Linked DNA regions of Saccharomyces cerevisiae S288C. The gene in region 1 interacts genetically with each later gene. Each region holds a gene or a part of one and is shown in the gene's direction. Other genes may lie near its edges.

Region 1 (5,373 bases):
ATGAATGGTGTCTGCAAACCGAATGTGATGCAGAGACGGATTCTATTCAATGTTGCAGGTGGGCGAATCAAGGCAGAGACCATGCTGAATATTTGTCACAAGTATGGGTTCTCGCTGCAGGCCCTAGAGGCTTAATTGAAAGCACCAAAAGATGGGCGACAGATGGTGGTTTACACTTTCACGGAGAAAGTTTTGCATTATAAGAGTTGCAAGTTGGCTATTAGTTTATGAGGCTTGGAAAATTCACGTATTTGATGGTGGCATATCTATAATGTCCCGTTTTGCTCTTTAATCTTACTGTCAAAAAAGGGCCCTATGTACGATCTTTTCTAACTGATTTTTTCCGAGAAAAGTTCCGCAGGCTGATTTAGTTTTTTTCTGGTGGTTGTCAAGCCTCTCTCCACTTGGTGATAGTTGCGAAAAATGACAGCGGATATTAATGGATATTAGCGGGAATAAGCACATTTCCATATTGATTATTTGTATGTCTAGCAACTTATAAGATGAATTATAAAAGGCATATAAGTTCTTCTTGGTACTGAATACATGACACTCTCACTACTGTACTAGAGACTTATTGTCGATAAAAGAACTCAACTGCCTCAATAGGAATTTTTTTACTAAAGCAATCACTGATTATGAAGGTTTTTATGCATACAATCCTCACAAAGGTGCAGCGATTGCATTTGTCGTTCTGTTTGGCATTTTAATCCTTTCTGCCTTGGTGCAGATCATAATGGCAACACACACGAGCAAGAGACGTATTCATCGCTGGGAAAACAATGAGTTGTCAGAGGAAAATTCCACAATAATATACTTTCCTGCCCGCGGTTTGATGTGGACACATTTTCCTTTCGTTTTAGGGATTTGTTTAGAGTTCGTGGGTTATGTGTTGAAAATAGTCTTTATCAATAGCCCCTCGATTTCGACTTTCATTGCTCAATCGGTGCTTCTATTGATAGCACCTTCACTTTACGCCCTTAGTATTTTTATGTTGTTCAGCAAAATGGCACGTCTAATTCTTATGGAGGCATATATGTTAATTCCTGCGAAATTTAGTACAGTTTCTTTCGTAGTGGCAGATATGATTGGGCGTGTCCTACAGGCTGTAGGAGGTGGGTTGTTATCCTCATGGAACAGCAGGAATACTGGGCGTATCCTAATTATTGTGGGTCTTTTCATTCAGATATTTTGTTATACCTTTTTAACGTTCAGTCAACTTTTTCTTCACTATAAAATGAAGGCAACGCCTAGTAAAATTGTGCGGGATAGTAATGAATGGTTCCAGTACAATTTTATACTTTTAGCTGGGATATTGCTGGTTAATGGTAGAACCATTGTCAGAGTAGTACAATTTCTAATGGGCTTACAAAGCTATATAGGTCAGCACGAATGGTGCCTTTACGTTTTCGATACAGTTCTAATGTTTTTACTACCTTTGATTTTCCTAGCAACCTTTCGCGCAAGAAATTTGTTCAAGCTGCAGGATAAATCTGTCAATATTCAATTAAACAAATTATTAGACAAGGAATCTGTGTCTGAAGATTAAGTAGTCAAAAATTTATTAATTAAATAGTTGGATAATATTTGTGCTGGGCATTAGAAGTCAATCTTGTCTTTTCCTTTATATGGTGCAAAGATTATCATGGTTAACGAATCTATTTTTTTTCGTGTCGTTTTTGTTTTTGTTTTTGTTTTTGTTTTGTCTGCTTGACACTCCATAGGAAGAGTAAATGAAGAACCTACCAGACCTAGGGACCAAATAGCATTACTAAACTACAAAGAAACAGCTATCTTTACAGTGTAAAGTATTTTTGAGTTTTTATTAAAGAGTTTGAAGTTGACTATGTCAGGAGAAGAAGAAGTAGATTATACAACGTTACCCCTAGAAGAGCGATTAACGTACAAGTTATGGAAGGCACGTTTAGAAGCTTATAAGGAGTTAAACCAGCTTTTTAGAAACTCCGTTGGCGACATCAGTAGGGATGACAACATACAAATTTACTGGAGGGATCCTACATTATTTGCACAATATATAACTGATTCTAATGTGGTCGCTCAAGAACAAGCCATTGTTGCCTTGAATAGTTTAATAGATGCCTTTGCGTCATCGTCTTTGAAAAATGCACATAATATTACTTTAATATCAACATGGACACCATTGCTTGTGGAAAAGGGCTTAACGTCCTCAAGGGCTACAACGAAGACGCAGTCGATGAGCTGTATACTCTCACTATGTGGTCTTGATACATCTATTACGCAATCGGTGGAATTGGTAATACCCTTTTTCGAGAAAAAACTGCCAAAATTAATTGCTGCGGCAGCCAATTGTGTTTATGAGTTGATGGCTGCATTCGGGCTCACTAATGTGAACGTTCAAACGTTTCTACCAGAATTATTAAAGCACGTACCTCAACTAGCCGGTCATGGTGATAGAAACGTTCGATCACAAACGATGAATTTGATTGTCGAGATCTATAAGGTTACGGGCAACAATAGCGACTTGTTAGAGGAGATACTGTTTAAAAAATTAAAACCAATTCAAGTGAAAGATCTTCATAAATTGTTTGCAAAAGTTGGTGACGAGCCATCGTCATCGAAAATGTTATTCGAGTGGGAGAAAAGAGAATTGGAAAAGAAAAGAAGCCAAGAGGAGGAAGCCAGGAAAAGAAAGTCCATATTATCGAATGATGAGGGGGAATATCAGATAGATAAGGATGGAGATACATTGATGGGGATGGAAACGGATATGCCACCATCAAAACAGCAAAGTGGAGTTCAAATAGACACCTTCAGTATGCTACCGGAGGAGACGATCCTCGATAAACTGCCTAAGGACTTCCAGGAAAGGATAACGTCGTCCAAATGGAAAGATAGAGTGGAAGCGCTGGAAGAATTTTGGGATAGTGTTCTATCGCAGACTAAGAAGTTAAAAAGCACCTCGCAAAATTATTCCAACTTATTGGGGATATATGGCCATATTATCCAGAAAGATGCAAACATTCAAGCTGTTGCACTAGCCGCTCAATCAGTAGAATTAATCTGCGACAAACTAAAAACACCAGGCTTTTCCAAGGATTATGTTTCACTAGTCTTCACTCCCTTGTTAGACAGGACAAAGGAAAAGAAACCTTCTGTGATAGAGGCCATTAGGAAGGCATTATTAACCATCTGCAAGTATTACGATCCATTAGCCTCCAGTGGACGCAATGAAGATATGTTGAAAGATATTTTGGAGCATATGAAGCACAAGACACCTCAAATCAGAATGGAGTGTACGCAATTGTTTAATGCAAGCATGAAAGAAGAAAAAGATGGATACTCGACCCTGCAAAGATACTTGAAGGATGAAGTGGTACCAATTGTGATTCAGATCGTCAACGACACCCAACCTGCTATAAGAACTATTGGATTTGAGAGTTTCGCCATTCTAATTAAAATATTTGGCATGAATACCTTTGTGAAAACATTAGAGCACTTGGATAATTTGAAAAGGAAAAAAATTGAAGAAACGGTCAAAACTCTACCTAATTTCAGTATTGCAAGTGGTAGTACCCATAGCACTATTGAAACGAATAAACAAACTGGGCCAATGGAGAATAAATTTCTCCTGAAAAAAAGTTCTGTACTTCCCTCCAAGAGAGTGGCATCTTCACCGCTGAGAAATGATAACAAAAGTAAAGTGAACCCAATAGGGTCAGTAGCCTCCGCATCAAAACCATCAATGGTAGCTGCTAACAATAAATCGAGGGTCCTGTTGACGTCTAAGTCTTTGGCAACGCCAAAAAACGTAGTAGCTAATAGCACTGACAAGAATGAAAAGTTGATTGAAGAATACAAGTACAGACTGCAAAAACTACAAAATGATGAGATGATATGGACCAAAGAAAGACAAAGCCTATTGGAAAAGATGAATAATACAGAAAATTATAAGATCGAAATGATTAAAGAAAACGAAATGCTAAGAGAGCAACTAAAGGAAGCGCAGTCTAAATTGAACGAAAAGAACATTCAATTAAGATCCAAGGAGATTGATGTCAATAAGCTGTCTGATAGAGTACTGTCACTAGAAAACGAGCTTAGAAACATGGAGATCGAATTGGATAGAAATAAGAAAAGAAATGATACAAACTTGCAATCGATGGGTACGATTTCATCATACTCCATACCTTCTTCCACCGTGTCAAGCAACTATGGGGTAAAATCTTTATCTTCCGCTTTGCCATTTAAGGAGGAGGAAGATGTCAGAAGGAAAGAGGACGTCAACTATGAAAGAAGATCAAGCGAGTCCATCGGCGACCTGCCGCACCGCGTAAACTCTCTTAACATACGGCCGTACAGAAAAAACGGCACTGGAGTGAGCAGTGTCTCCGACGATTTGGATATCGATTTCAACGATAGTTTTGCCTCAGAAGAAAGTTATAAACGTGCCGCTGCAGTGACATCTACCCTAAAGGCCAGAATTGAAAAAATGAAGGCCAAATCAAGGCGGGAAGGGACAACCAGGACGTAAAGGGTAGCCTCCCCATAACATAAACTCAATAAAATATATAGTCTTCAACTTGAAAAAGGAACAAGCTCATGCAAAGAGGTGGTACCCGCACGCCGAAATGCATGCAAGTAACCTATTCAAAGTAATATCTCATACATGTTTCATGAGGGTAACAACATGCGACTGGGTGAGCATATGTTCCGCTGATGTGATGTGCAAGATAAACAAGCAAGGCAGAAACTAACTTCTTCTTCATGTAATAAACACACCCCGCGTTTATTTACCTATCTCTAAACTTCAACACCTTATATCATAACTAATATTTCTTGAGATAAGCACACTGCACCCATACCTTCCTTAAAAACGTAGCTTCCAGTTTTTGGTGGTTCCGGCTTCCTTCCCGATTCCGCCCGCTAAACGCATATTTTTGTTGCCTGGTGGCATTTGCAAAATGCATAACCTATGCATTTAAAAGATTATGTATGCTCTTCTGACTTTTCGTGTGATGAGGCTCGTGGAAAAAATGAATAATTTATGAATTTGAGAACAATTTTGTGTTGTTACGGTATTTTACTATGGAATAATCAATCAATTGAGGATTTTATGCAAATATCGTTTGAATATTTTTCCGACCCTTTGAGTACTTTTCTTCATAATTGCATAATATTGTCCGCTGCCCCTTTTTCTGTTAGACGGTGTCTTGATCTACTTGCTATCGTTCAACACCACCTTATTTTCTAACTATTTTTTTTTTAGCTCATTTGAATCAGCTTATGGTGATGGCACATTTTTGCATAAACCTAGCTGTCCTCGTTGAACATAGGAAAAAAAAATATATAAACAAGGCTCTTTCACTCTCCTTGCAATCAGATTTGGGTTTG
Region 2 (4,445 bases), on another chromosome or scaffold:
TTGGAAACATTTAACTTTTCTCGTTACAAGCGGGTAATATCCTAATCATTGTAATTAAGACGTTGCTTCCCTGGGAAGAAAATAGTATAAACATAAGATATAATAGTTTTTAAAATGGTCAACGTATGCGATGCACAACTAAAAGGTACCAATTCATTAAATATTATAATATTTACTTCTTACTATTACACGAAAGACAAGTGTGAAATGCCTAGGAGATTGATGATTGACAAGCTCTGGCCTTGCAATAAAAATACTTATACACAACTTCAAATAATATAGAAAAGAAAGAAGACTATAAGCTAAAAATGTAGACAACCTCATTTAAATATTATTCTTAGGACTTGGTAATAATAGCTAATTTGTATATTATTCACCTCGGTCACCGCCTGTAATCACCTTTAACGAAAATAGATGCCCAGCCAATCAAAGCGCATTATGGAGTCGTCTAGGAAGGGGCCGTCCCATCATTGTAAAAGTTCATGTTAAATTAGATGGAGGATAACAATAAAGGTATCGTACACACACTGCTAAAAGAGCCTCAATCAATTTGTGAAGGTATAACTGTAGCCGTGAGGATAGGAAAATGTTACGTTCAATTATTGGAAAGAGTGCATCAAGATCATTGAATTTCGTCGCTAAGCGTTCATATGCAGAAGCTGCTGCCGCATCATCAGGTTTGAAGTTACAATTTGCTCTACCACACGAAACTTTATATAGTGGCTCCGAAGTTACTCAAGTGAACCTGCCTGCTAAGTCAGGACGTATTGGTGTATTGGCCAACCATGTTCCCACCGTTGAACAATTACTACCAGGTGTCGTTGAAGTTATGGAAGGCTCTAACTCTAAAAAATTCTTTATATCAGGTGGATTTGCAACAGTTCAACCAGACTCGCAGTTATGTGTAACTGCAATTGAAGCTTTTCCATTGGAATCCTTTTCACAAGAAAATATAAAAAATTTGTTGGCAGAAGCTAAGAAGAACGTTAGTTCATCTGATGCCAGGGAAGCCGCAGAAGCTGCAATTCAAGTAGAAGTTTTAGAAAACCTACAATCCGTATTGAAATAGCGTTTTTATGGTACGCATTCTAGAACTTGAGGGGAAGAAGTCTACGTTTTTAAGTGTTGACAAGCAATTCGCTTGAAAGCGCCAAAATTCATTGTTTGTTCTACTCGAATTTAAGTTTCCATTTTGGTTGATGTCTTAAGTATACAGAGAAACCGTTTATTAGCGTATATATACAGAAAATTTTATTATTTTATATTCAAAAACAAGAAAACAAAAGAGAAAACATTAACATGTAATTTTCATAACTAATAGTCCTAGAAAGTAATACTTTTTACAACTGTTTCTTTAAATCCTGTATGAAAGCCCTAGTTGCAGATCATCGTGTTATTCCAGTGAGTTTTCACTTCCCTAAGTCCTTCCTATTTATGTTTTAGTCCTTCTTGCACAGCAATTTTACTTCGGGCACTGTTGCCGTATATTCTAAAAAAATGAAAAAAACGTTCATGCCCCAGCGAAAACCAGTGTTTCCTCGTATTCGTGTCAGTAATTACACCAAAGTTTGTTCTACACTAAATCACGAATAAAGTGGGAGATTGAGTTCAACAAAATATCTGATTATAAAAGTATGAGAACAAGAAAATTAAGGAGCCTCCATAATAAGGTGCTTTTAATTGAGAATGAATGTTCATTAGTTGCTATATTGATGGTGATGGAACTCCAATTACCTAATCAAAAATATGAATGTTTATGCGAATAAGAGTTTGTAAAGAAAAAGATCCCTGTAGACTGGATGTGAGATGATGATTTCATTCCCGGCCTCTTAAATAAAAACAATTACCACTGCAAAAATGTTCTTCAAACGCGTTTATTATATAATGAAAAAGAAATTCAAATTTTTCGCGTTTGAAAATTTATGCTAAACAAATAACTCGAGGAGGGACGCGTCGAGAAAATCGCGTCTTTCTACTCTCACAGTGCTTGCATACGTATGGTATACAGTATCAAAAGTAGCAGAATTTGTCTTCATTATGATATATATATATATATGTACATATATATAGGGTGCTAAAAAGTATTCTTTTTGCTATTATTATTGCTTAAATCGCCGACCTTTTTCCCATTGTCACGAGAACATAATTGTTAAACCAATAAAAGGAAAATCCATAACAAAAAAGGACTGGTCAAAGAAAAGACAACTCAATTGCACAATTACTTTACAAGAAACACGACAATGGTTACAGAAAATCCTCAACGTCTTACTGTTTTAAGACTTGCCACCAATAAGGGTCCATTAGCACAAATATGGCTTGCTTCAAATATGTCGAATATACCAAGAGGATCGGTTATCCAAACACATATTGCTGAATCAGCAAAGGAAATTGCAAAAGCTTCTGGCTGTGATGACGAATCAGGGGACAATGAATACATAACTTTACGAACATCTGGCGAATTACTTCAAGGCATTGTTCGTGTATATTCCAAACAGGCCACTTTTCTCCTTACAGATATAAAGGACACATTAACGAAGATAAGTATGTTATTTAAAACAAGCCAGAAGATGACTTCTACAGTAAACAGACTGAACACTGTAACAAGGGTTCATCAATTGATGTTAGAAGATGCCGTTACAGAAAGAGAAGTTTTGGTCACCCCAGGGTTAGAGTTCTTAGATGATACTACTATACCAGTGGGCTTAATGGCGCAGGAGAATTCGATGGAAAGAAAAGTCCAAGGTGCTGCTCCCTGGGATACTTCACTTGAGGTCGGTAGACGATTCAGTCCAGATGAAGATTTCGAACATAATAATTTGTCTAGTATGAACCTTGATTTTGACATCGAGGAAGGTCCGATAACTTCAAAATCTTGGGAAGAAGGAACAAGACAAAGCTCACGCAACTTTGATACGCACGAAAATTACATACAAGATGACGATTTCCCTCTTGATGATGCTGGAACTATTGGTTGGGATCTAGGGATTACCGAAAAAAATGACCAGAACAACGATGATGACGATAACTCTGTTGAGCAAGGAAGAAGGCTAGGTGAATCAATCATGTCTGAGGAGCCTACGGATTTTGGATTTGATCTGGATATAGAAAAAGAAGCACCCGCAGGCAATATAGATACGATAACCGATGCCATGACAGAATCACAGCCAAAACAAACTGGCACAAGAAGGAACTCAAAATTACTGAATACCAAAAGTATTCAAATCGATGAAGAAACAGAAAATTCAGAAAGCATAGCTTCATCCAATACATACAAAGAGGAGAGATCGAATAATTTATTGACTCCACAGCCCACCAATTTTACGACTAAAAGATTATGGAGTGAAATAACTGAAAGTATGTCCTATTTACCAGATCCAATCCTTAAGAACTTCTTATCCTACGAATCTCTAAAAAAAAGAAAAATACATAATGGGCGAGAAGGGTCAATTGAAGAACCTGAGTTAAACGTGTCGCTTAATCTTACCGACGATGTAATTAGTAATGCGGGAACAAACGATAACTCCTTCAATGAACTGACCGATAACATGTCAGACTTCGTACCAATTGATGCTGGCTTAAATGAGGCTCCTTTTCCTGAAGAGAATATCATCGACGCAAAGACTAGAAATGAGCAAACTACCATCCAAACTGAAAAAGTTCGTCCTACTCCCGGTGAGGTGGCTTCTAAAGCTATTGTTCAAATGGCGAAGATTTTAAGGAAGGAATTAAGCGAAGAAAAAGAAGTAATATTCACGGATGTACTAAAAAGTCAAGCAAATACAGAACCAGAAAATATTACTAAAAGAGAAGCCAGTAGAGGATTTTTCGATATTTTATCACTTGCTACAGAAGGATGTATTGGTTTGAGTCAAACAGAAGCATTCGGAAATATTAAAATAGACGCCAAACCTGCACTATTTGAAAGGTTTATCAATGCTTAAAACCTAGTTACGCCGAGGGGATTTCTTGGTGGACCCAATAAGCTGATGCATATATAGATCAAAGACTTTAATTTATAAAATTGTCAATATTTAATATTAATATTCACAAAATACGATAAAATTCAAACTAATGCGGTAGAGCCACTACTGGCCGCAAGGCAGAATGATCTTGGCAACTCTACACGCTGGTGCATGGGTAGTATTTATTCTAAAACTTGCTGTATTATTTTGAATAGTGATATTAGGAATCGTCTGCCCACGTACACCGGTGAAGCCGAAATTTTCTCATGGAAACCTTGGGAATAGAAGAAAGGTCCATTGTAAGTGCTACATACTGACCATCTTACATAATCTTACACAACCCTGGTAATAAAGCCACGTCTAGAAAGTTTTCCAGGCCAAACAATCTTCTTTTCCATTAGCTTTGGTACATTAGCAGCCAGAGGAAACATTATGCAGTTTTTAAAGGCTCAACTTTTTATCTAATATACAAAACAATAAAGT
Region 3 (4,330 bases), on another chromosome or scaffold:
GTGCAACATACTGTTCGTTTGTTAGACTCCAATAATCCTCCTACTCAGCTAGATTTTGAGATTCTAGAAGAAGAACTAAGTGATATCATTGCCGATGTTCATGATCTAGCAAAGTTTTCGAGACTAAACTACACTGGTTTCCAAAAGATTATCAAGAAACACGATAAGAAGACAGGTTTTATCTTGAAACCAGTTTTCCAAGTTAGATTAGACTCTAAACCATTTTTCAAGGAAAACTATGACGAACTAGTCGTTAAAATTTCCCAACTATATGATATTGCCAGAACTTCAGGTCGCCCAATCAAGGGAGACTCATCTGCTGGTGGGAAGCAACAAAATTTCGTTAGACAGACAACAAAGTATTGGGTTCACCCTGATAACATTACAGAATTGAAGCTGATCATCTTGAAGCATTTACCAGTGTTAGTCTTCAACACTAATAAGGAATTCGAAAGAGAAGATTCCGCTATTACTTCGATCTATTTTGATAATGAAAATCTAGACCTTTATTATGGCAGATTAAGAAAAGATGAAGGTGCAGAAGCCCACAGATTGAGATGGTATGGGGGTATGTCTACAGACACGATCTTTGTAGAAAGAAAGACCCATAGAGAGGATTGGACTGGTGAGAAATCTGTCAAGGCAAGATTTGCGCTAAAGGAACGTCATGTTAATGACTTCTTAAAGGGTAAATATACTGTTGATCAAGTATTTGCCAAGATGCGTAAAGAAGGCAAGAAGCCAATGAACGAAATTGAAAACTTGGAGGCGTTAGCATCCGAAATTCAATACGTCATGTTAAAGAAAAAGTTGAGACCTGTAGTGAGATCATTCTACAATAGAACTGCTTTTCAATTACCTGGTGATGCAAGAGTTCGTATCTCCCTTGATACAGAGTTAACTATGGTGAGAGAAGACAACTTTGATGGTGTGGATAGAACTCATAAGAATTGGAGGAGAACTGATATTGGTGTCGATTGGCCATTCAAGCAGCTAGATGACAAGGATATTTGCCGTTTCCCATATGCAGTCCTGGAAGTTAAATTGCAAACTCAACTAGGTCAAGAACCTCCAGAGTGGGTACGTGAATTAGTCGGGTCTCACTTAGTTGAGCCAGTCCCAAAATTCTCCAAGTTTATTCATGGTGTGGCTACCTTACTAAATGATAAAGTGGATTCAATCCCATTTTGGTTACCTCAAATGGATGTTGATATCAGGAAACCTCCACTACCAACAAATATTGAAATAACAAGACCCGGTAGATCCGATAACGAAGATAACGACTTCGATGAGGATGATGAGGATGACGCTGCTTTGGTTGCTGCCATGACAAACGCACCCGGTAATTCTCTTGATATAGAAGAATCTGTTGGTTACGGGGCTACTTCGGCCCCCACCTCCAACACTAATCATGTTGTTGAGAGTGCTAATGCTGCTTATTATCAAAGAAAGATCAGGAATGCCGAAAATCCTATCTCCAAGAAATACTATGAAATCGTGGCATTTTTTGACCACTATTTTAACGGTGATCAAATATCTAAAATCCCAAAAGGTACTACTTTTGATACTCAAATTCGTGCCCCACCGGGAAAGACGATATGTGTGCCAGTTCGTGTGGAACCAAAAGTTTACTTTGCCACTGAAAGAACCTACCTGTCTTGGTTGTCCATCTCGATATTGTTGGGCGGTGTCTCCACTACTTTATTAACATATGGTTCACCAACAGCCATGATTGGCTCCATTGGGTTCTTTATTACTTCCTTGGCTGTGTTGATACGTACTGTTATGGTTTATGCCAAGAGAGTGGTAAACATTAGACTAAAGAGAGCAGTAGATTATGAGGATAAGATCGGGCCCGGCATGGTTTCTGTGTTTCTAATTCTCTCTATTTTATTTTCCTTTTTCTGCAACCTAGTTGCTAAATGAATACACAGCGTGTTTTTTTTACTGTATAATTAAGTAATAATCATATTAGATATAATAATTTCTTTAGCGCCATTTTTTTATATATGAGAACTACCCTCTTGCCTGAAATGCACACCTTCACCAGGCGCACACTGGTTCAAAAATAGTAAACAAAATCATGCGAAAATACAATAAAAGACGTTAACTTGATAGAATGAAAGCGTACGCAAAGAAACGTATCTCTTACATGCCATCGTCACCATCACAAAATGTTATTAACTTTGAAGAAATCGAAACTCAAAAAGAAAACATTCTTCCCCTGAAGGAAGGCAGATCAGCAGCGGCACTCTCGAAAGCGATACATCAACCACTGGTGGAAATAAACCAAGTTAAATCAAGCTTCGAACAAAGACTGATAGATGAGCTCCCTGCATTAAGCGACCCAATTACTTTGTATCTTGAATACATAAAGTGGCTGAACAACGCCTATCCACAAGGCGGTAATTCCAAACAATCTGGAATGCTCACCCTTTTGGAGCGATGTTTATCTCACTTAAAGGATTTGGAGAGATATCGCAATGATGTTAGGTTTCTTAAAATATGGTTTTGGTACATAGAACTTTTTACCAGAAATTCATTCATGGAAAGCAGAGACATTTTCATGTATATGTTAAGAAATGGAATTGGTTCCGAGTTAGCGTCATTTTATGAAGAATTTACGAATCTATTAATTCAGAAAGAAAAATTTCAATATGCCGTGAAAATTCTACAGCTAGGAATCAAAAATAAGGCTAGGCCTAATAAGGTTTTAGAAGACCGGTTAAACCATCTCCTGAGAGAACTGGGGGAGAACAATATTCAGCTAGGAAATGAAATATCGATGGACTCATTAGAGTCTACAGTACTTGGGAAAACCAGATCTGAATTTGTCAATAGACTAGAGCTTGCAAATCAAAATGGCACATCAAGTGACGTCAATTTAACAAAAAACAACGTATTTGTAGATGGAGAAGAGTCTGATGTAGAACTATTCGAAACTCCGAATAGAGGTGTTTATAGAGATGGCTGGGAAAATTTTGACTTAAAGGCAGAAAGGAACAAAGAAAACAACCTTCGAATATCATTGCTAGAAGCAAATACCAATTTGGGTGAGCTTAAACAACATGAGATGTTATCGCAAAAAAAGAGACCATATGATGAAAAACTACCGATCTTTAGAGATTCTATAGGTAGAAGTGACCCTGTTTATCAAATGATTAATACAAAGGACCAGAAACCAGAAAAAATTGACTGTAATTTTAAACTGATTTATTGTGAAGATGAGGAATCTAAAGGTGGTAGACTAGAATTTTCGCTAGAAGAAGTCTTGGCAATTTCTAGAAACGTTTATAAAAGGGTTAGGACAAATAGGAAACATCCAAGAGAAGCAAATTTAGGGCAAGAAGAAAGCGCAAATCAAAAAGAAGCTGAAGCACAATCGAAAAGACCAAAAATAAGTAGAAAAGCCTTAGTCTCCAAGTCGTTGACCCCCTCAAACCAGGGAAGAATGTTTTCTGGCGAAGAGTACATAAACTGCCCTATGACGCCAAAGGGACGAAGCACTGAGACGTCTGATATCATCTCAGCTGTCAAGCCGCGGCAGTTAACCCCAATTTTAGAAATGAGAGAATCAAATTCTTTTTCTCAAAGCAAAAATTCTGAGATCATTTCAGATGATGACAAGTCGAGTTCGTCTTTCATATCGTACCCACCACAGCGTTGAAATAAAACTAATCCCATGAATGAGTAAGTATACTGGCCAATCGTAAACACATCGACGGCCGACTTTTTTATTTAAAGCACAGATGATATAATGATTATTTAACGAATGATACTTCTATATTAAATCCTATGAGGAGTAATATAAATATAAAAAGGCCAATTTTAAAATGAACGTTTGTCCGATTAACGCTTATGACATACTGTAGGGATGACAAAATTATAGTGAGGACTTTAATTCTATATAAATACATTACAATAGTATAAAAAAACAAAAAAATGTGAAGAAACACCAAATATTAAACGGCAGTAATGAAGTTTAACCTCGAGGCTATTATTCTTGTTTTCTTACACCACTAACAATATCATCAACCCTTAATAGTAAACATGCACTTTCAATAGCGGTTTTGACACTTTGCTGCTTGATGACTTCAGGTTCCCAAATACCGTAACTAACCATATCTACAATTTTCCCCTTGTCACCATCAATACCTGTTGTAAAATTTCCCTGTGCGTGTTTGGCTCTTAGTTGGGATAGGAGTCTAATAGGATCACCACCTGCATTTTGTATCAAAGTACGTGGAATACACTCCATAGCATCAGCTACAGCTTGGTATGGCCATTGCTGGATCCCTTCTAATTGCTTTGCCTTTTCTGCTAATTTGAC
Region 4 (3,927 bases), on another chromosome or scaffold:
AAAGCGAGATAGAGGATGATTTCGTAGAGATGTTGGGTATAGTGAACATTATCAAGGACTACTTGTTGTGCTGTGTCATGGAAGATTTAGATGATGAAGAAAGTGAGGACAAAGATGAAGAAAACGCATTCTTGCAAGAATCTTTAGAAAAATTGAGTTTACAAAACCAAATGGGAACTAACTCAGTTCGCATCTTGACCAAGTATCCCAAAATTTTGGTATGATATGGATTGTCGGATATTTTATTCTTAGTTGTTTCTTTGCGGCTGTATAGTAAATGAATAAATCACACATGCCCTAGCGCGGCGTCGCGGATTAAACAAGGTAACAATGGTTAAAGGAAAAATTATTTGTTAAGGTGGGTATATTATAGATTGCTAATTGTAAAGTATTAATAGTTTATTAAGTATTAAACTAGAGTTCGCACATGCTTTTATTTTTTTGTTGCTTTTCTTCACGCTACCGCTTCTTGAGACTGTTGTTTGGTAGTACTGATATCTTGATCGGTTGATCCCGAGCTGCGATTACCCGTGGAGCAAACTTCTTGATCCTGCTGTAGCGTACCGTTTGCTAAGCCTTCATAGTAAAGTTCCTCGTGAAACTGGTTTCTCAACACAATGACGATGATGGCCACTGGAGTGCATACAAAGGCAATTACAACGGCATAAATCAACTTCATGACCTGCGGTAGTGGATAATCGTTGAAGTAGTAGTCGTGGGACCCGACCTTATGGCCTATACCAGCAAGGATACCCATAGTGACTGGCCAAATGACAATGAACATGGCAATGGCTAGGATCATAGATCTGATGAATTTCTGCACAAACCATTCTATAAAGTTCATGAATTTGGACTGAGTAGAATCATGAATGAACTGAGATGTGAGAAAACCTTTCAACGTAGCTTCTTTACCTTTGGGAATGATTCCTCTATTGACCTCTAAATAGCCAAAGAGCCAATTATGCTTATGATACAGAGTGTTCTGCTTCGCAACGACGTTGTCTTTGGATTCGAAGTAATCCACAATGAAACGCTTTTTAGGGGGTGGTATTTCTTCGTTAGATTCGGTTTTCAGTGGTGACGGTTTCGTAATCCATTTATTCAATCTGAAAACAGGCCTCTTGTAGTCATCGAATCCAACTAAAATTTCCTCGCTAGCCCATGTAAGACCCACCTGGATGAATAAACTTAGTGCACAATCGCCTGAAATGGTGTGAGGAAATGCCCATAAGGTGATAAGATCTACACGGGAATGGTACATGGCATATGCGATGGCAAACTCGATGCCGCCCGAGATTATTGCAGAACCTAGCGCTTGGATGACGAAAAGGTAGAAGATGATGAACCAGATGGAATTTCTGAACCCGGTCGGGGTCGCTGGCGCTGGCTCTGAGGATTTCATATATGTGAAGAGCGTCTATTTTCAAGGGTGTTGATGCATATATATCCGTATATATGTGTGCCGGTGGAAGGTTATAACATCTTGAAGAAAGAAAGAGGAGAAATTGGTTTTAGATCAAGGACAGATAAACTATATCTTTCAAAAGCCGATGCAAATCGTATACAGCAAATATCAATGAAGGAATGCGATGGAGGTGATGCTAGTGTGGACTGCACTATTTTTTTTTCCTGTTTTTTTCCACTTTTGTGTAGGAAGAGTATTGAATCAGGAAAGCGGGAAAAACCGCAAAGAAAAAAGTAAACTTATCCGTGAAAATCAATTACATTACCGAAAATGGCAAGATCCAAACAAGAAAAGTAAGTAAACGAATGCGAATACTGGAACAAGCAGGGCATAAAGAGGCACATGCGTCGTTTGTAGCCGACGTGCTTCATTTATCAGGTTAGTTGGCAGCGGCTGGACCATACAGGTTCTCACAATGTGTTGGTCTACGTTCGGTCATGCACCACGGTTGTTCCGTCAAACGGTCAGAAAACACACGCGGAAAATCCAAAGGAAAAGATGGGAGAGAAAAAACATGAAGTTGAGAAGCAACGAAACAAGGTTTGATCCAGAAAGGGGAGGCTAAAGGCGAAAAAGGCGAAAGAAAAGCGTTTAAGAGAATTTTACAAACGTAGTAAAATAATGGGTGTCATCAAGAAGAAAAGATCGCACCATGGAAAGGCTTCGCGCCAACAATACTACTCTGGGGTACAGGTTGGGGGAGTAGGCAGCATGGGCGCCATAAACAATAACATCCCGTCGTTGACGAGCTTCGCGGAGGAAAACAACTATCAGTACGGATACAGCGGCTCCAGTGCCGGCATGAATGGCAGATCGCTTACGTACGCGCAGCAACAGCTTAATAAGCAAAGACAGGACTTCGAACGTGTACGACTTAGACCAGAACAGCTCAGCAATATCATACATGACGAGAGCGACACGATATCGTTCCGATCCAACCTTTTGAAGAACTTTATAAGCTCGAACGACGCATTTAACATGCTGAGTTTGACCACGGTACCGTGCGACAGAATTGAGAAGTCCAGATTGTTCAGTGAAAAAACAATAAGATATCTCATGCAAAAACAACACGAAATGAAAACACAAGCGGCAGAGTTGCAAGAAAAGCCTCTGACGCCACTTAAATACACAAAACTTATAGCTGCGGCAGAGGACGGAAGCCGTAGCACAAAGGATATGATAGATGCTGTCTTCGAGCAAGATAGTCATTTGAGGTACCAGCCGGACGGCGTGGTCGTACATCGTGACGATCCTGCGCTGGTGGGTAAACTCCGCGGAGATCTCCGCGAAGCGCCGGCGGACTACTGGACGCATGCTTATAGGGATGTTTTGGCGCAATACCACGAGGCCAAGGAGCGTATCAGGCAGAAGGAAGTAACTGCAGGTGAAGCACAGGACGAAGCCAGCTTGCAGCAGCAACAGCAGCAAGATTTGCAGCAACAGCAACAAGTAGTGACTACAGTTGCCTCGCAAAGTCCTCATGCAACTGCAACGGAAAAGGAGCCAGTACCCGCCGTGGTTGACGACCCACTGGAGAACATGTTCGGAGATTATTCCAATGAGCCGTTCAACACCAATTTCGACGATGAATTTGGAGATCTTGATGCTGTATTTTTTTAATAGCCATGGGCGGCTACTTCTTGGAAATATATACTTTCCTTTTACATATTTAGTATAGTTATACATGTGGATGTGTATGGAGGTAAGATCAGATAGACCCTTCACTGTTTTCTGTGTATTCCTTGTGACATAGTGGATTTGTGCAGCTACTGCTTATAGGAAGCAGTGCCTGCAAAACAATTCATTCGTTGGTTGATGTGGCGCGCTGACTGAATGTGTAGGGTCTGTTGTTACCCCCTTGCTCCGGGGGCCCACATCTCTCTGACGCGAAGAAAGGCTCGAGATGTGCCAGTCGTAAACACCGCCTCATTTCCCTTGCATTCTCCTCCAGTGAAAAAGCAGTACGACCTATCTCCGAAAAAAAAAAACCTCCTGTGCGTTTACTGTGGATCATGCAACACGATTTCTGTAGATTAAAGACGTTTTTGGCATGGACTAAGCTAAATTCCGTTTGATTAGCCGCCCATAACGGGTGGCAAACAACACGATGAAACTCTATATCCCCGCTTAACGTTTCGGCGGCTGTGATCAAGGAAAATAGTATATAAGTTCGTCGGATTTCTTATTTGTTTTCTCTCTTCCTTTCTCTCTCCCTTTCTCGTGCTTGGTTGTTTTCCTTAATTAGTTAAAACAATAAAAGAACAAGAAGGAGAAGGCGATTTTGGACTAGAAAATCACGAAGAAAAAATATCTAATTGCATTCCTATATATATTTATATACATACTCTCTATTGTTTGTTTTTTGCCTGCTCAAGAAGAAAGAAAGAAAAAAATATTATCTTTTTTAGCTTGTTGAAACATGAAAACCGAAATCAGCACTGCGGATTCCCTTCGTGATCCTC

Evidence for each region.
Region 2: mutations in STU2 (region 1) and MCD1 together harm fitness more than expected from each alone (negative genetic interaction), as found in Saccharomyces cerevisiae (2 studies listed by BioGRID).
Region 3: mutations in STU2 (region 1) and MAD3 together harm fitness more than expected from each alone (negative genetic interaction), as found in Saccharomyces cerevisiae (3 studies listed by BioGRID, with this or other methods).
Region 4: mutations in STU2 (region 1) and SNF6 together harm fitness more than expected from each alone (negative genetic interaction), as found in Saccharomyces cerevisiae (2 studies listed by BioGRID).

The regions. Positions count from the first base shown.
Region 1 is NC_001144.5:234,177-239,549, reverse strand, and holds STU2 (Stu2p), read left to right. Parts: upstream 1-1,846; coding exon 1,847-4,513; downstream 4,514-5,373. Other genes in the region: FRE8 (putative ferric-chelate reductase), read left to right, coding at 1-203; YLR046C (uncharacterized protein), read left to right, coding at 737-1,549.
Region 2 is NC_001136.10:442,443-446,887, forward strand, and holds MCD1 (kleisin alpha), read left to right. Parts: upstream 1-2,240; coding exon 2,241-3,941; downstream 3,942-4,445. Other genes in the region: ATP16 (F1F0 ATP synthase subunit delta), read left to right, coding at 587-1,069. UniProt on the Saccharomyces cerevisiae protein: Cleavable component of the cohesin complex involved in chromosome cohesion during cell cycle. The cohesin complex is required for the cohesion of sister chromatids after DNA replication.
Region 3 is NC_001142.9:408,830-413,159, reverse strand, and holds MAD3 (Mad3p), read left to right. Parts: upstream 1-2,119; coding exon 2,120-3,667; downstream 3,668-4,330. Other genes in the region: VTC4 (Vtc4p), read left to right, coding at 1-1,926; chaperonin-containing T-complex subunit CCT3, read right to left, coding at 3,998-4,330.
Region 4 is NC_001140.6:52,765-56,691, forward strand, and holds SNF6 (Snf6p), read left to right. Parts: upstream 1-2,086; coding exon 2,087-3,085; downstream 3,086-3,927. Other genes in the region: alkaline-responsive transcriptional regulator RIM101, read left to right, coding at 1-224; YHL026C (uncharacterized protein), read right to left, coding at 455-1,402; RIM4 (Rim4p), read left to right, coding at 3,885-3,927. UniProt on the Saccharomyces cerevisiae protein: Involved in transcriptional activation. Component of the SWI/SNF complex, an ATP-dependent chromatin remodeling complex, which is required for the positive and negative regulation of gene expression of a large number of genes.